Linked DNA regions of Arabidopsis thaliana. The protein of the gene in region 1 interacts with the protein of each later gene in a pairwise test. Each region holds a gene or a part of one and is shown in the gene's direction. Other genes may lie near its edges.

Region 1 (4,806 bases):
AATAGCCAAGAAAGAAAATGTTAAATCTTTGTTTCAAAGCAATATGATTTAAAGAGAGTAGAGAAAGATTAACTACTTTTGCGATGAATTGGAGCGTTCTCGTCTGGGAAGATCATTTGTTGAAGAGCGTTCATGTTCGCCATATGGTTTTAACTGTGAATCATCAAAGAACCAATTGCAGAAACGAAGATTTGATTCCAGAACTGACGATTTTAAGCAATTAGAAACCCTAAAAAAGGTAACAGAAACCCAACTCGAAATCGAAACAAAGATCGTTTTTTTCACAAAACCCAATTCGATCCTCAAGCAAATTTAACACCACAGACCCCAGAAACCCAGAACGAATCAAGTAGCGACATACGAAAAGAAGAACAAACAATCGCAAGAAGAACAGTCTATAATGTGAACCTAAATCAGAAGGAAGAAAGAGATTACCTTTGTAAAAGTGAAGAAGTTTCTTGGTGAGATTCTTGTTGGAAGAGAAGTGTATAAGAAGATGAAGAAGAGCGCTTAGAGTGTTTAACGGTAACTTTTCAATGTTGTTCTGACGAAATAATGAAGAACCTCCGGGATTAGGCCAAAAAAAGTAAATTTATAGAAGAAGAGAAAAAGTTTCTAGCCGTTGGCAGAATATTTTAATGCAGGCCTAATCAAGAATTGGCCCAGGTACAGGCCCATCACATAAATCAAATTGACGGCATCAAACTATCATGTAAGATAGAAGCAAAACATGTCACACTTCTCTAAGTTATCTTCTTATCGGCTAGATTTATCATCATCCTTGATTAAATCTCCTTAATTTTGGAAGGTTAAATTATAGGTAAAGTGTATATAATTAGTCTAACCAAGGATATTCAACGCTTCTCGTTCCTGTTCCTTATATAAAACCATTATCCTCACATAAAGAAGACTTAACAAAAAAAAAACTCTTTTCAAAACACATTAGAGACAATTAACAAGAAAAACCCTTCTAATAATTTGATCAGAGATATGGGTTTTTCGCACAAGTTGTGGGATGAAACTTTGGCCGGTCCAACGCCGGAAAATGGTCTCGGGAAGTTGAGAAACCACATATCCGGTGAAAGTGCCAACCGGAAGTTGATGGTGGATCTGAAACGTGTCCCGAATTCTCCTGACCGTTCAAGCAACCCCGTTTCCCCTTTGACTCTTATGTTACCTTTTTTAAAAATCCTTTCTGATCCACTTTTTTTTTATCTTCTATGCTTGTGTTATGAGCAGTTAAAACCCTATATATTCATGTAAATTAAAGACTTTGCAAGGTGATACATATGTTCATAGTCATTATAAGCTTTTTTTTATTATTTTTTTTTTTTATTTTGACATCCATAATCATTATTAGCTTGAGAGTATTATGGATTTGTAAATTAATGATTACCAAAATCATTTGTATGCAGCTGGAACACCAAGTGAAACACATGCTACAAGTCTCAATGCTTGCGATTGGTTTGATCTCCCTCTCTTTTCTTTCCTCTCAAACTATACTTCATTTTATCCAACGCATTATCGCTTTCATTAGTACCACCATATCTAATTAACGTCCGGTAATACTGCAGGATTGTGCTAAACGCATTGGACCGTTGAAAAATATTACAAGGTATTTCTACGAGAAGAAGAAGTATCCCAAACTACTTTTCTTTGTATATATATATTTGCTGTGTACATAACATAATGGTCGCTTTTGGTGTTTTGAGATTTGAGAAATATTAAATTTCTGTTTGTTTCACAATTCACGAAGATTATATAAGGTCTTTTTGAAACATAGTATTTCTGGAATGTTTAAAGTTGTATCTTTGACAATGGTGAAAAGAAAAAATGATACTAAGTGATAACATGCTAACGTAGCGTATGGAAAGCCCAATAAAAACCCATGCCCAAAGTAAATAACATCCACGTCACCGTTCTTATTGTTAAAAGAGAGACTAATTCGAATCGATTTAACGAATGAAGCAAGACAACGAAGGAAGACAACTGGAAACTATCGACGGACTAAAAAAAGTCTACGACCGATATTGAAACTGACGGTTAGGCTAAGGGTAATTTCGGTACATCACCGGAAAAATGGTTCACGGGGATAGTTCCGGTAATTATAGTAAAACTAGATGGGCTTTTCCGTCAATACACTTCCTCATCGGATTACGAAGAAATGGGGAAATTACGATACAAACCCATCTTTTACCCCTAAACCGAGCCGGCAACTTTACCGGTGACGGAATCTTACCTCTGACCTACCAATCACGTCATTCCACGTCATCTCCCCGTATCTTCTCACGTCCTTCCACGTGTCCCCTCTACTCACCGACGCCGTCTCCTTCCCGTTTACCCCTCCCGAACAGAATATTAACCCAAACCCTAACCCTATCTCCCTCTTTCACGAGCTTCTGACTCAGATCCGGCGATATCGAATTCCATGGAGGACGATGAAGACATCCGATCTCAGGGTTCCGATTCACCTGATCCGTCTTCCTCCCCGCCGGCGGGACGAATCACGGTTACGGTGGCTTCGGCAGGTCCGCCTTCTTATTCTCTGACTCCTCCGGGTAATTCGTCGCAGAAGGATCCGGATGCGTTGGCTCTGGCGCTGCTTCCGATTCAGGCCAGCGGTGGAGGGAATAACAGCAGTGGGAGACCAACCGGCGGCGGCGGGAGGGAGGATTGTTGGAGCGAAGCAGCTACGGCTGTGTTGATTGATGCGTGGGGTGAGAGATACTTGGAGCTTAGCAGAGGGAATCTGAAGCAGAAGCACTGGAAAGAGGTGGCTGAGATTGTGAGCAGCAGAGAGGATTACGGTAAAATTCCCAAAACTGATATACAGTGTAAGAATAGGATCGATACGGTGAAGAAGAAGTATAAACAAGAGAAGGTGAGAATCGCTAACGGCGGTGGCCGTAGCAGATGGGTGTTCTTCGACAAGCTTGACCGTCTGATTGGATCAACGGCGAAGATCCCGACGGCAACTTCTGGAGTCAGCGGTCCTGTCGGAGGATTGCATAAGATTCCTATGGGTATTCCAATGGGAAGTCGTTCGAATCTGTACCATCAGCAAGCTAAGGCTGCAACACCGCCTTTCAATAATCTTGACCGGTTAATTGGAGCTACGGCTAGAGTCTCAGCTGCTTCTTTCGGTGGCAGTGGTGGAGGAGGCGGAGGAGGATCTGTCAATGTACCTATGGGAATTCCGATGAGTAGCCGTTCAGCTCCGTTTGGACAGCAAGGGAGGACTCTGCCACAGCAAGGTAGGACACTGCCACAGCAACAGCAGCAAGGGATGATGGTGAAAAGGTGTAGTGAGTCGAAACGCTGGCGTTTCAGGAAGAGGAACGCTTCTGATTCAGACTCGGAATCTGAAGCAGCAATGTCAGATGATTCCGGTGACAGTTTACCACCTCCTCCTCTGTCGAAGAGGATGAAGACGGAGGAGAAGAAGAAGCAAGATGGTGATGGAGTGGGGAACAAATGGAGGGAGCTGACTCGGGCAATCATGAGATTCGGTGAAGCTTATGAGCAAACAGAGAATGCGAAACTGCAACAGGTGGTTGAGATGGAGAAAGAGAGGATGAAGTTCTTGAAGGAGCTTGAGTTGCAGAGAATGCAGTTCTTTGTGAAGACTCAATTGGAGATATCACAACTTAAGCAGCAACATGGGAGGAGAATGGGAAACACCAGTAATGATCATCATCACAGCCGCAAGAACAACATCAATGCGATTGTCAACAACAACAACGATTTGGGTAATAACTAGAATTTAGTGATGCAGTGTCGTAATTGATATATTTTAGATTTGAGTCTTTAATTGTTGAAAGAGAAACTGAAACTTATCTAGGCTTCATGAGTGTATTAATATTTTGCATATCTTTCTTAACTTTGGTCATATGGAACAGATTTAACTTCACTAGATTGCCTGAGATCATTCTGCTGCAGACTCTTGTGCACGTTTTTGAACTTCTCTTAATCTCTGAGTTAGATTGTGTTTCACTAGTTAGGTTAGAACATGGCATAGGACATTTTTGACACAATCCAACCGCAAAATCTTAAAGCTATGTTTGGTTATTATGACATTGGAGATTTGCATGTGTACCTAAAAGCATTTTTTTAACTCTTTTTCTTTTGAGTAATTGTTTGAGCTAGATTTTCTTGTGTCTGAAGCATCATTCAAACCACCAATGATGATCTTCTATAAAAGAAGAATGTTAGGCAAGAAACCTTTTCGTTGGTCTGTTTATTTATTTTTCTATGATGTTTGCCTTTTGGCATTTTATAGGTACTAAACAAATGACAGTCAATTCAAATTCATTACACATAGATGTTTCTCACAATTTTACCTTCCGCACTAAGCTAATATTCATGTATCGAAAGGTGAATCATGATATTTGAGTAAAAATACCATCTTCCGAGTCCCACCGTAACATCATTCTAACTTGCACTATTCTTATTTTTTTTTGAAACGAATACAATAATGAAAACGTAAGAAATAAAGCATCTTGAAATCTTCTGAATTTTGTTTTTGTTTTAGGTAGAAAAGAGTTTGATTCCAAAGGTCCACGTGTGTTTAGACATATAGATTAGATATTATCTAATGATATATTGGTATCACTAGGATTACTAATCAAGATTTTTCCTTAGTAAAGTTCAAAATAAAGTTTTTTTTTTCAAAATAAAGTTTTTTTTTGGAACTAAATCTAGCAATAAAAGTAGTGATTACTAAAGAAATAGTAAATTATTAATGTAACAAATGAATATTCTTTTTTTTTTTTTAAAGTGGGCAAGAAAAGATACCAAAAAGAAAGA
Region 2 (4,415 bases), on another chromosome or scaffold:
CAATAAAAACATACAATGTTAGAAGAAAAAAATACAATTTTTTTTACTAACGAATCATATGAATAGTTGTTTTATATACGGTACATTAACGATCCTCTCATCAGCTTTATAGATAACGAAGCATATTATTCTCCTTAGTTCCGCTTTTTATCACTTGAGATTAAACTCTACTCACAGGTTTAAGCACGTAAATTAGTTACTAAATAATGGATTTGACATTTACGCTTTGCATGCTTATATATGTTACCCATAATTATTTCCCTTTAGTTACTTAAAGTTACCAAAATCAACTACTTCAAGATTCTCCAATCAAAAGAAGCGTGTAAAAGCCTCTATAGTTATATAGTAGTATATAGACCTTGAAGATTTCTTTTTGAAGAAAATATGATTATACTGAGTTCAAAAGGTCGAAAAGAAATAATAAAGGTAGAATCCCTTTACATGATGTGTGGAACAACTTTTCTTGACCTCCAACTTCTTGGGATCGTGGGAAATATATAGGAGAATCTAATCGGAAGTTGTACAGAACGTGTAAGAACTAAGAACCATATTCACTTTGTTGTCATTGTTATAAGATTCAAGATTCTTTGACCGGCGCGTGAAAAAAGCATCCACCTATAGGCTCAAGATTCGTGTCCAAGAAAATATCGAGAACCGATGATTACTTGGAAAGTGGACCATTTTTTAAAAAATCAAAAATTAAAAAAGGAACGTAGCTCATGCGAATAGTTTAGTCCACCAAAGTGAAATGGTAGAACATTTGGTTTCAGTTTAGTTGTGTGTATTTTTATTAAAGGCTTCAGAATCAATTTCGATTTTTGAAAAATGAGTTTTTATAGCCATGTTAGTATGTTACGAGGATGGAAAAGCAACCTAGCTAGATTATCTTGTGATATGTGTTATTGTTCAAGAGAAGTAGGGGCAGTAGTTGTCGAGATCATGTTATTAGTGTCGCTGGAATGTTAGATATTGCCCATCCTGTCTCTTTTTCCCCATCGTGCCCTAAAAGTCAAACTATGCATGGTATTAGCTAATCTTGAATAGGTTTAATTCAGTACGGAAACTCTAATTGAAAACTACCTTCATGGAGTAATAGTTATCGAGGAACGATGATGAGGTATTAGTGGAGATAAGCAGATTTGGACTCAATATCAAAAATTAATGGTGGGATCCATTTCCGTTTCACCTAATATACATAGTGGCAAACAAAAAACAAATATAAGAAGAAAAGATTCAGTATCGAGCATTCTAGCTATGTCGGTAACGTGACAAAGTCCTTTTTTTCGTTTGTCTGTTTCTTTAAAGTTAATCAAATCGGCCAACGCTGCCTCAACAACGAGCTTCCTTTTTCTAACGTCCCTAATTTGCCACGTCCATTTTCTGGACTAGTCCCGGTTTAAAAAATCTTCAGAGATGTATTCGTGGTCAACTTCATTAACTCTTTCTCTTGAGCCCTTCATTAGTTATGATCTTATTTACTTTTTAAAAATCTAACCAAGTACTGTATATTATATATGTGGTAGCCAAAATATTATGTTAAATTCTAGGCTAATCCGATATATCAAGAAAAATCAATATATAAAAATGGAGAGCTATTTTTCACGAGTTAAGTGAGAGAGATGAGTAAAGAAAGGCACGGGAAGGTGAAGAGAGTGTAGGTTTCCAGCTTCTTCCCCAAGAAATAAAATGTATTTGACTTTGTCTAAGCAAATATGTCGTCACTTTAACGTCATTCATTACCTAGAATGCAATTAAGATATGGCTTTTACATAAGCCACCAAATTTGGTTTTGTTGCCCCAAAATATCCCAAGAAAAGATCAACTTCTTCTTCTTACCAAAACTGTCGGCGTCGTCTCCTCTAAGCTCCTCCCATGGAAGCAGAAGAAGGTCATCAGCGTGACCGCCTCTGCGACTATTGCGACTCCTCCGTGGCTCTTGTCTACTGCAAAGCTGACTCCGCCAAGCTCTGCCTCGCCTGCGACAAGCAAGTCCACGTCGCCAACCAACTCTTCGCCAAACACTTCAGGTCACTTCTCTGCGACTCCTGCAACGAATCTCCCTCTTCCCTTTTCTGCGAGACTGAAAGGTCTGTTCTTTGCCAGAACTGCGACTGGCAACACCACACCGCCTCTTCCTCCCTTCATAGCCGCAGACCCTTTGAAGGATTTACCGGCTGTCCCTCCGTGCCTGAGTTGCTGGCCATCGTTGGCCTCGATGACCTCACTCTCGATTCCGGATTGCTTTGGGAGTCACCTGAGATCGTTAGCCTCAACGACCTTATTGTTTCGGGCGGGTCGGGTACTCATAACTTCCGGGCCACGGATGTTCCTCCTCTGCCTAAGGTATAACTTGCTCTGTTTTTTTTCTCGAGCCAATTGCTCGGTTTTTATATTTCTCTGAAATGTTTTGAAATGCTCCAGAATCGTCACGCCACCTGCGGGAAATACAAAGATGAGATGATCCGACAGCTCCGTGGACTATCCAGATCTGAGCCTGGTTGTCTGAAATTTGAAACCCCAGATGCTGAGATCGATGCCGGGTTCCAATTCCTAGCGCCGGATTTGTTTTCTACATGCGAGCTGGTAATAGAGACTGCTATTGGTTGTGTTTTCTTGTGCTTGTCAAATGATTTTCCAGCTTATAAATCTCTCTTGTCAATATGAAGGAGAGTGGACTGAAATGGTTCGATCAGCAAGATCATGAGGACTTTCCATATTGCTCTCTGCTAAAGAACTTGTCGGAGTCAGATGAGAAACCTGAGAATGTAGACCGAGAGTCATCGGTGATGGTTCCCGTTTCCGGCTGCTTAAACCGATGTGAGGAAGAGACTGTGATGGTTCCGGTTATCACTAGTACAAGGTCGATGACACATGAGATCAACAGTCTTGAGAGGAACTCTGCTCTCTCTCGCTACAAAGAAAAGAAGAAGTCTCGAAGGTAAACAAGCTAATTTAAAAAGTGAGACACCACCAATAGGATTGGGATTTGAATCATGTGTTGATGAAACAGGTACGAGAAACACATCAGGTATGAATCACGCAAGGTTCGTGCAGAAAGCAGGACAAGAATCAGGGGACGTTTCGCCAAGGCAGCAGATCCATGAATGATGATGAGGTTACTTTGATAATCAAAAATCTTTTGTATTAATCGAATCATATAGTGTGTATGATCAGATAAGTTTTTGTATTCTAAGCTTAGGAGTTATCACTGTATATCGACCACACTCTCAAAATTGTCACTTAAGAATAGTTTTTTTTTTGTTTTGCCTCCGATTCCTAATTTGCCAAAGGGCAAGCATGGACGAGCACAGAACAAAACATGGTTCACAGTTATATACAATCTCAAGACAAGCAAGCAGCAAAAGAACTTGTTGTAATGTTAGAAAGTGAGATTGGACCCATTAAAGATCCATGGAGCAAGAAGGGCTTGATGTAATTGATATTATGGGCTCAAGTTGTAACATAGTAAACCCAATATAGGTTGGCATGTTTGGGCCATTTTCTTTTAAAGCCCAAATATAAAAGCGTCTCTTCCCGATGGCCGGCGAAACAGAAATTCCGCTGCCGTCGCAGCTTTCACTCTTGTTTTTTTATTCAGATGAAATTGGATGGCCGATGAAGACAAACATCCAAAGGCATGGGCTCGCGGCAACAACTATTTGCAATCTACCAATATATAATAATCTGAGGCAGTATAAAAATACAAAAAAAAATGACAACACTTTTTGGCAGATCATTCCTGCTACGATGAATCTGTCCCAATGATAATCTGAGAAGTAAAGTAAGTTTTGGTTGAACAAGGAATCTGGAGTGGGTTTTACTTGTTGAGCAATCAGTAAGCACTAAATCATGTATCAGAGTTGTGGTTATATTCTCTATGTTCTTCTTAGAATTCAAATATGAATCTGACTTGGAGTTCTTTATTTTAATGATGGTTAATTTTACTGTTAATATTTTTGGATTTGAACATTTGGTGAAGAGTGGTTGCAGCTTGAAGCAATTTTGCATCTCTCACTCTTCGTTTACTGTTTGTTGACGTTGAAGATTAGGCCCCAACAAACTTGTATATAAGAGCCCTTCTCTGTTTATTCTCCTGTCTTAAGAGCGCTAAATCCCTTGGAGACATCTTCACCACACTGTTCAGAGATCTGTCATGGGCCCCGGAGGACCAGGAGGACCCGGAGGACCAGGGTTCTTGCCACCGGGAGGACCAGGCTTCTTCCCACCCATTGGTGGTTTCTTTTCTGGGTTCTCCGACATGATATGTTCCTGGTAAAGACATTCTCTGTTTTGCTATGTGTTTTGTAAAGAGTTAAGTGGTTAGTCTGACTGTGGAATCTTGCAGTCTATCTTGTCTGTGCTGCTGCTGGCTGCTACGAGATTGCTTTGGCGGCCCACCGCCACAAGGACCGCCA
Region 3 (4,656 bases), on another chromosome or scaffold:
GTTTCTTCGGATTCATGCTTGGCTTTTTGTCTCTTCCTTTGATGGCTTACATGAACAGAGGAAGTTCTTGGAGGATTCTCTACGCATGGACTTCGATTCCAACGATAATATACTGCGTTCTTGTTCGGTTTTTCGTTTGTGAGTCTCCAAGGTGGCTTTTCGTTAGAGGCCGTAGAGAAGAAGCTATTTCGATTCTCAAAAGGGTTGCTTCGATTCCGTCTACTGATGTAAGCAGTGGTGGTGCAATATCTATGAGTTTTTCGAGCTTACCTTTTGAAGAAGATGAAGAGAAGCCTAGTACTAATGTTAACATCTTCACGACCATGAAGGTGTTGGTAGAGAAAAGATGGGCGCTTAAGAGATTATCCGCGGTAATGGCCATTGCGTTCGGGATTGGTTTGGTCTATTACGGGATGCCTTTAGCGTTATCGAATCTTGATTTCAACATCTATTTAAGTGCAGCGTTTAATGCGTTGATGGATTTACCAGCGAACCTCATCACGCTTTTCCTAGTCGATAAACTCAGTAGGAGAAACGCGCTTATCGGATTTACGGCTTTAGGTGGAGTCTCTAGCGTTCTCATATTTGCGTTACATAATATGAGAATTGGAAACCACGGGGCGTTACAGTTGGCGTTAGAGCTAATCTCTTACTTTAGCGCGTGTTCGGCTTTTAACATGGAGATGATATACACGATCGAGCTGTTTCCGACATGTGTGAGAAACTCGGCTATCGCAATGGCTAGACAGGCTTTGGTGCTTGGTGGAGTTTTCAGCCCTATTATGGTAGCAGCTGGTCGGAAAAACGCGTTCTGGTCGTTCGGATTGTTTGGTCTTGCTATAGGTTTGTTGGGATTGTTTGCAGTTGGATTGCCAGAGACTAGAGGGAGTGATCTATGTGACACTATGGACGAGGAAGAGTGCAAAGACCGGCGGAGTAAAGTCGCCGTTAATAATGTCATTGCATGAAATGGTGAAGAATTTGAAAACACATGTGAAATTAATGTAGATTTAATTTAGTATTTATCACTTGATTACATTAAGACTTACCACATATCTTTTTTTTTGGTTAGTTGAAAAGTGTTTCTAAGAATGAGCCATCAAAGCACCACTCTGATGAAACAATCTCATTTTACAGTTTACACCTATAACACATGGATTTCTTGAATAACAAAATAATTCAAATTTGTCTCGTTTGGATATTGATGCCGATGGTTAAACGTTTGGCTGTTTGATTTTTGTTAGAGATAATTGTGTTTCTGTTCTAATTTTCACACGTTGTGTGAAAATGAATCGTTCCAATCCCAAGAAAGTATATTCATTGGGGTTGTTGGTAGTTGGCTGTTTGGTAATTGAATGGGAAGAACAAACCAGACAGAAATTTGTACACTTCTTGGTAGATATGTTTAAAAGGTTTAATTTACAAATAGGCCCATCTATCAGCCCTTTTGTAACCCTTTTAGGCCCAACTAAGTGGTCTCAAAGTTCACAAACCCAAAACTTATGTGGATTTATTATTTTAAGCCCACACAAACTAACGAACGGTGAGCTGGCAAGTCACGTGATGACACGTGATCCATCAACCCATCACTTACCATTACCCCAACCGGTACGGAAGTGGTTTTGTATCTTCCTACTTCGACTCCTCTTGGGTAATTATAATTAGTTTTAGATGAACCAAACAATCCCAAAATAATATTAGAAAAAGGGAAGAAAATCTGAAACCAAAAAAAACGAGAAGGGAGTCGAAGAAGAACCTTTCGCGCTCTGACGAAATTCATTACTTACACTGGATTTATACTTTTTTTGTCTTCCTCTCTCAATTATCTCCTTCAACGCCACAAGATCCTAAGGCCTCTCACGGATCTCTCTTAAGATCAATCGCCGCGGCTCATGACGCAGTCGCCTGTTCAACCGCCTCCGCCGCTCCCAGCTCAGCCGCATTCCGCCGCCGGAGGTGTAATAAGAGGCGATGTACAGGTTAGGTGCGCAGGCTGTCGCGTGATTCTGAGGGTGAAAACCGGCGTTGTGGAGTTCTCGTGTCCGACTTGTCAACTTCCCCAAATGTTGCCGCCGGAGCTTCTTTCTAGGGCACGGCCGCAGTTTCCGCAGTCTCCACAACAACCACCACAGCCAATTCAGACGCTTCCGCCACCGATTCAACAGCAGCTTAAGCCTCTTAATCTACCTAGGCCTCCGGTTCCGGCACATGGAATCGATCCGACGAAGATGCAATTGCCTTGCGCTAACTGTCAGGCTATCCTCAATGTGCCTCATGGACTCACTCGGTTCTCGTGTCCTCAGTGCCATGTCGAGCTCGCTGTTGATGTCTCCAAGCTTAATCGGTCTTTAACTGCTTCTCAATCTCATTCTAATCCTCCTACTCCTGCTGCTCCCACAGTCCCGCCTCCGCCTCCTCCCGAAGAAGTCAATGAGGAAGCTATTGAAGTGGAGAGAGAAGAAGATGAAGGTGGAACGGCTGGAGAAACGTTTATGGATTATGTGAGTGCCTCATCTTGAGATCATCTTTTTCTGTCTGTTCAATGTTTTTGATGATACTAATTTGTTTCTTTGTGAAGCGTCCCCCAAAACTTTCGATCGGACCTCCTCATCCTGATCCAATTGTGGAAACATCATCTCTATCTGCAGTGCAACCCCCAGAGCCTACTTATGATCTCAAAATCAAGGAAGAGCTTGAAAGGTCAAAGGCTTTATCGTGTTTGCAGATTGAGACATTAGTTTACGCTTGCCAGGTTGCTTTTAAATGGCAAAAAGTTTGGTTAATGGCATTTAAACGTATCTTCTACCTGTATGACAATGGTTTTTTTTTTATTACAGAGGCATCTCCAGCACCTTGCTGATGGTACCAGAGCAGGCTTTTTTGTTGGAGATGGTGCTGGTGTGGGCAAAGGGCGAACAATTGCCGGGTTGATTTGGGAAAATTGGAAACATGGAAGGAGGAAAGCTTTGTAAGTCTTGTAGAAAGATACTTCTGCGCCATTTACATCCTTGATAAGATATTGTTAGCTCAATTCAATCTGACTTATGATTATACTACATTTGCATAATTGTGTCTACGGTGTCCTTTTTTGGTTTCTTAGATAACTTAAAGTAGGATGAGTTCTAATACTATTTGCTCCTTTTCCTTTATGATTTACATAGGTGGATTTCTATTGGCTCAGACTTGAAATATGATGCAAGAAGGGACTTGGATGATGTGGGTGCTACATGCGTTGGAGGTATTATCTTGATTTTGGCTGTAAATTAAGTTTGTAATTCGCTTATTTTCTTGGGTCACAAATGCTTCATATGTTATACATAATTACATATAGCTTATGCTATAAATTATTTTCTGGCTCATTGTTGAATAGAAAATTTTGAAAGTGGATGGTATAGAGTAGACTGGATCAGAATGAGATTCTGACTTTGCTGAATGGATAAATTGACTCATGCTTTAATATTACGATGTAGAGTACACATGTATTTTTAGAGAACTTATTTTCTTTACTGATAAAGGTAATGGGTCCCTGAACTTTGTTTATGGTGTCTTCATGCCTAGAGAATGTTATGGGTAGCTGATGTTTGTGCAGTTCATGAAAATTTCAGGTAAATAAAAGTTGGACTGTAACTTTAGAATAGTCCAATAGGATATTTGATTCTTAGTCTCATTAATCCTTTATAGGTTTGAGCTTGGAATTTTAATAGAATATTAGGAGATGGAAAAATACGACAAATCAAGGGAACCATGTCGATGGATAAGTTCATTCAAGTGAACAAATGTCCAGTTTGTTTTTTCTGCAACTAAATAACAATATGTTTGACGTGCAGTGAATCCTTTGAACAAGCTACCCTATTCTAAGCTTGACTCGAAAAATGTTGGTATTAAAGAAGGAGTGGTATTCTTGACATACAATAGCCTCATTGCTTCCTCTGAGAAGGGCCGTTCTCGTTTACAGCAGCTTGTTCAATGGTGTGGACCAGAATTTGATGGTCTCTTGATCTTTGATGAGGTAACAGTTCTATGAATGAAGTATATTAAATTATTTGCGTTAAAATCATCATCCCCCTTTTTTTGTGAATTGAACAATTTGAGTATACCCTGTCGTTGTAAGTTGCTTGATCACTGGTTTTATCAATTTTGGGCCAACCTCTAATCTTTAGTACATTGTGCAGGTACTAATTTGTTTTCCTTTTTTATAGTGCCATAAAGCGAAAAATTTGGTACCTGAAGCTGGGAGTCAGCCGACACGCATCGGACAGGCAGTTGTTGACATTCAGGTCTGGCTACTTGAAACTGAATGTTCTTATCAGTGTTGCTTTTAATATTGCTCTTGGCTCTGAAGAGTGAGAGATTATATACTTCGACTTGTCTTTTTGGGTTGTACTTTTTCTCGGTTTCAGATAATATAGTGTATATTCTAGTTTAACATGCTTAATTTGTGGTTAGTGCCATCTAGTTGACTCTAACTAATGAATTCTGGAAAAGCAGGATAAGATCCCCCAAGCACGTGTTATTTATTGCTCGGCTACTGGGGCATCAGAACCACGAAACATGGGTTATATGGTCAGGCTTGGTCTTTGGGGAGCTGGAACAAGTTTTAGTGATTTTAACAAATTCCTAGGTTGGTTTTCTTTTCTACTCCTGTTGATTAATTGA
Region 4 (4,278 bases), 1.9 Mb from region 1:
AGTTATACATGTGTTCTGTTTTGTTCTTTCTCTGAAGTTTCTTGTTTTTTTTTGTGATGAGCAGGTTTCTTCTGTGAAAGTTATACGTAACAAGCTCACTTCTCAATCAGAAGGGTATGGGTTTGTTGAGTTTCTTTCACGTGCTGCAGCTGAAGAAGTTCTTCAGAACTATAGTGGTTCAGTGATGCCAAACTCGGACCAACCCTTCCGTATAAACTGGGCATCTTTTAGTACTGGTGAAAAAAGAGCAGTGGAAAATGGTCCAGACCTATCTGTTTTTGTGGGAGACTTGTCTCCAGATGTCACTGACGTTTTATTGCATGAGACCTTTTCTGATAGATATCCTTCTGTCAAAAGCGCCAAAGTTGTGATTGATTCCAACACCGGCCGGTCCAAAGGTTATGGTTTTGTGAGGTTCGGTGATGAAAATGAGAGGTCAAGGGCTTTGACAGAAATGAATGGAGCTTACTGTTCGAACAGGCAAATGCGTGTAGGTATTGCAACTCCCAAAAGAGCGATTGCTAATCAGCAACAACATTCTTCACAAGGTTTCTTTTCATACTTCTCTCTGCAACTAGTTTTACCCTCTGATTCTTTCTATTTAAGTGTACTAGTTTTAAGCGAGAGGTGAGCCAGTTTTAATCCATAGGACTCTAGAGCTAACAACTTGTTGCATTCAACAAAGTTTTTGAACTATAAAGATTTTATGTTTTCATTGGAATAGCTGTGATTCTGGCTGGTGGACATGGATCAAATGGTTCCATGGGTTATGGCTCGCAGTCTGATGGCGAATCAACTAACGCAACAGTGAGTTGTCATATTTAGTTATATGTCAGCATCATTCAAGCTCTATATGTTCTTGCTGCTCATCTTAGGTTATTCTACTGCAGATATTTGTTGGCGGCATTGACCCTGATGTTATTGATGAAGACCTCAGACAACCTTTTTCCCAGTTTGGAGAGGTTGTTTCAGTGAAGATCCCAGTAGGGAAAGGATGTGGATTTGTCCAATTTGCTGACAGGTGCTGTCTTCATCTAGTTAGTAGTGTTGGCTTGGCAATCATATGATTGAGCAACCTGTAGGTGCTTATCTCATAGCGAGTAATTCAAAGCGACTTGCCTTTGGTTTTGACAGGAAGAGTGCTGAAGATGCTATCGAGAGTTTGAACGGGACAGTCATCGGCAAGAACACTGTCAGACTCTCCTGGGGACGAAGCCCAAACAAGCAGGTAAAATTTCACTTTGGAGTTGATGCATTCTATCAGTAGAAGAGTAAATTGAGTATTTTGCTAGGGTCAAACTTTGTGAATAGTTGTTTGTTTTGTTATTAAAAGTAAAGTCAGTGGTTGACAATAATAGCTGGTGGAATCTAGCACCTTCCCTTCGTTTTCTATTTTGACTTATGCAAGTGGGAGAATATCTAATACATGTCTCCATGTCCAACTTGTGTCACCAACCCTGAACATGGTCTTATGTCGACATGTTTTGGTCTAGGACTTAACCAAATTGGTTCTGCTGGCAATAGATTTCTTTTTAGTTCTCATAATGTGTTCAACTTGTGGCAGTGGAGAGGAGACTCAGGGCAGCAGTGGAATGGAGGATACTCACGAGGACATGGTTACAACAATGGAGGAGGATATGCTAACCACCACGACTCCAACAACTATCATGGGGAGAATTGAAGAGACTCATCAAGTGATCATCTTCATCATGGTTTCACATATCAAAGCTAAAACCTGTAGTCGAAAGAAGAATTTTGTTAGATGGATTTGATTTTGATAGACTTGTTGTTTGGAGGAGATTCAAAAATTTTGGTTACTGGTTTGTCTCAGACTAATATAAATGGTTGCAACTTGTTGGATCAAAATTCCGCTTACCTTCTACGAATTGCTTATAAGCCCAAAACTTTCTGAAATTAAACAAACAACCCCAAAACTTTAAAATTATATTTATTAACTCACATTAATTTTAAATTTTTAGCTATTAGCCCTTTCTCTCTCACTTCTTCAGTTTTTCTTCTACTCTCAACCTCTCCGGAGAGAAAAAAATCGGAGAGTGAAGATGGAAGAAGCTTTCATGGCGATGCTCTCACATCTTCTCCATCTCCAAAACTCATTAGATCCTACAAGCACTCTCTTCTCTTCCGCATCCACATCTTCACAGTCTTCAACCACACCTTCCTCCCTCCTCTCCACTTCCTCCGCCGCGCCTTTACTCTTCTTCACTCTCGCATCTCTCCTCTCCTTCCTCGCCGTCAACAGATCTTCAACCGAATCCTCATCTTCCTCAGAATCACCTTCCCCTTCCCCTCCTCCGCCTCTTGCCGACGGCGATTACTCCGTCGCTGCCTTCCGTGCCCTAACCACAGACCACATCTGGTCACTCGATGCGCCTCTCCGCGACGCTCGTTGGCGCTCATTGTACGGTCTTTCCTACCCAGTCTTCATCACCGTCGTCGACAAGCTCAAACCATTCATCACCGCTTCAAATCTCTCTCTCCCCGCCGATTACGCCGTCGCTATGGTCCTCTCTCGTCTCGCTCATGGCTGCTCAGCTAAAACCCTAGCTTCTCGCTACTCACTAGATCCATACCTCATCTCCAAGATCACAAACATGGTCACACGTCTCTTAGCCACCAAGCTATATCCAGAATTCATCAAAATCCCCGTCGGAAAACGGAGATTGATCGAAACGACTCAGGGATTCGAAGAACTCACCTCTCTCCCCAACATTTGCGGCGCCATTGATAGTACTCCGGTGAAGCTCAGACGCCGCACGAAACTAAACCCTAGAAACATTTACGGTTGCAAGTACGGATACGACGCCGTTTTGCTTCAGGTTGTTGCTGATCACAAGAAGATCTTTTGGGACGTTTGTGTGAAAGCTCCAGGTGGAGAAGACGACTCTTCTCATTTCAGAGATAGTCTTCTATATAAGAGGCTTACTTCAGGAGACATTGTTTGGGAGAAAGTTATCAATATTAGAGGTCACCATGTGAGACCATACATTGTTGGAGATTGGTGTTATCCTCTTCTCTCATTCCTGATGACTCCATTTTCACCAAATGGCTCTGGTACGCCACCGGAGAATCTATTCGATGGAATGTTGATGAAAGGAAGGTCAGTGGTGGTGGAAGCTATTGGATTGCTCAAGGCTAGATGGAAGATTCTTCAGAGTTTGAATGTTGGTGTGAACCATGCTCCTCAGACTATTGTGGCTTGTTGTGTGTTGCATAATCTTTGTCAGATTGCTAGAGAACCTGAACCGGAGATTTGGAAGGATCCAGATGAAGCTGGAACGCCTGCAAGAGTTTTGGAGAGTGAGAGGCAGTTTTACTATTACGGGGAGAGTTTGAGGCAAGCATTGGCAGAAGATTTACACCAGAGACTCTCCTCGAGGTAAAAGACATGAACAGATCTTGGTCAAAAAATGGAGCTTTCTATCTTTGTTATCATGTAAGAAGCAGATGCTTTCAAGTGTTTAGAACTTTAGATAGCATTGTAGATTCAATCCTCTTGAGAAGAAAGTTTGAGGATTCAGAAATGTTAAAAAGCTGACTTTGTTGCCTAGCCATCCCAACTGTCAGTTTTGTAACTTAGGAATGGGTTTATGGTTTGTTCTGTAACACCTTTTGAGAATGAAATGTATGACTTCTATTGATATGGATTATGGAATCTTGAGAAGCAAGTTTTTCCGAATTTGAAATATTAATAGCTCTCTGTTACTGTAAGTTTTGTGACTTAGGAATGGGTTTTTATGATTTGCTTTGTGGCACATTGTGAATGGAATCTGAATCTTTTTCCTGGAAAAAATGGAGACAGCCAAATGAAAAGAGAAAGGGATGTTCTTAATATCTGTCTTCCATGATTTGGAAGAACACGACTGTGGATTATCATCTTATTATACAACTCTCCAGGCCTGTCGGATTTTTCTGGATACTCTCTTTCTTTGTCGGAACTTAGCATTCTTTTTCTAACACTATAAACATAGGAATGGGTCCTGAAAAAAATTCCAATTCCCAACCCCAATCCACCCATTTGCTTCTTGCAGTTGTATGTTCTTCCTCTTTCGAATCCGTTATAACACCGAGTCACTTTCCTCATCGCGTTTTCGCTAAAGATTGTCGAGTCGAGACACCGTGCAGCAGTTTGACAAAACCCAAGAAACTCAGCTTCCCGTCAGTATGTCTTATCCAGTCATTTAGAATGGTATGAACCGGGATGGATGATCCAACACCAAGTTCCTACAAAACATTTATGTTCCCTTCGTTTAGGAATTA

What was found.
Region 2: the proteins of ASIL2 (region 1) and AT2G47890 interact in a two-hybrid assay, tested with the Arabidopsis thaliana proteins (one large-scale study listed by BioGRID).
Region 3: the proteins of ASIL2 (region 1) and EMB1135 interact in a two-hybrid assay, tested with the Arabidopsis thaliana proteins (one large-scale study listed by BioGRID).
Region 4: the proteins of ASIL2 (region 1) and AT3G19120 interact in a two-hybrid assay, tested with the Arabidopsis thaliana proteins (one large-scale study listed by BioGRID).

The regions. Positions count from the first base shown.
Region 1 is NC_003074.8:4,706,244-4,711,049, reverse strand, and holds ASIL2 (sequence-specific DNA binding transcription factor), read left to right. Parts: upstream 1-1,873; 5' UTR 1,874-2,428; coding exon 2,429-3,760; 3' UTR 3,761-4,248; downstream 4,249-4,806. Other genes in the region: AT3G14190 (uncharacterized protein), read right to left, coding at 77-143. UniProt on the Arabidopsis thaliana protein: Transcription regulator that may repress the maturation program during early embryogenesis.
Region 2 is NC_003071.7:19,606,373-19,610,787, forward strand, and holds AT2G47890 (B-box type zinc finger protein with CCT domain-containing protein), read left to right. Parts: upstream 1-1,623; 5' UTR 1,624-1,872; coding exon 1,873-2,343; intron 2,344-2,421; coding exon 2,422-2,583; coding exon of another isoform or gene 2,584-2,664; exon of another isoform or gene 2,665-2,666; coding exon 2,667-2,938; coding exon of another isoform or gene 2,939-2,942; exon of another isoform or gene 2,943-3,010; coding exon 3,011-3,104; 3' UTR 3,105-3,915; downstream 3,916-4,415.
Region 3 is NC_003070.9:29,850,452-29,855,107, reverse strand, and holds the start of EMB1135 (RING/FYVE/PHD zinc finger superfamily protein), read left to right. Parts: upstream 1-1,641; 5' UTR 1,642-1,892; coding exon 1,893-2,501; intron 2,502-2,578; coding exon 2,579-2,752; intron 2,753-2,837; coding exon 2,838-2,968; intron 2,969-3,161; coding exon 3,162-3,238; intron 3,239-3,827; coding exon 3,828-4,009; intron 4,010-4,199; coding exon 4,200-4,277; intron 4,278-4,488; coding exon 4,489-4,621; intron 4,622-4,656. Other genes in the region: OCT2 (organic cation/carnitine transporter 2), read left to right, coding at 1-968. UniProt on the Arabidopsis thaliana protein: Required for normal embryo development. Necessary to acquire heat stress (HS) memory, by modulating nucleosome occupancy and regulating heat-induced gene expression.
Region 4 is NC_003074.8:6,608,801-6,613,078, reverse strand, and holds AT3G19120 (PIF / Ping-Pong family of plant transposase), read left to right. Parts: upstream 1-1,940; 5' UTR 1,941-2,060; coding exon 2,061-3,401; 3' UTR 3,402-3,729; downstream 3,730-4,278. Other genes in the region: RBP47B (RNA-binding protein 47B), read left to right, coding at 65-548, 725-807, 891-1,021, 1,135-1,228, 1,565-1,681; AT3G19100 (Protein kinase superfamily protein), read right to left, coding at 4,099-4,242.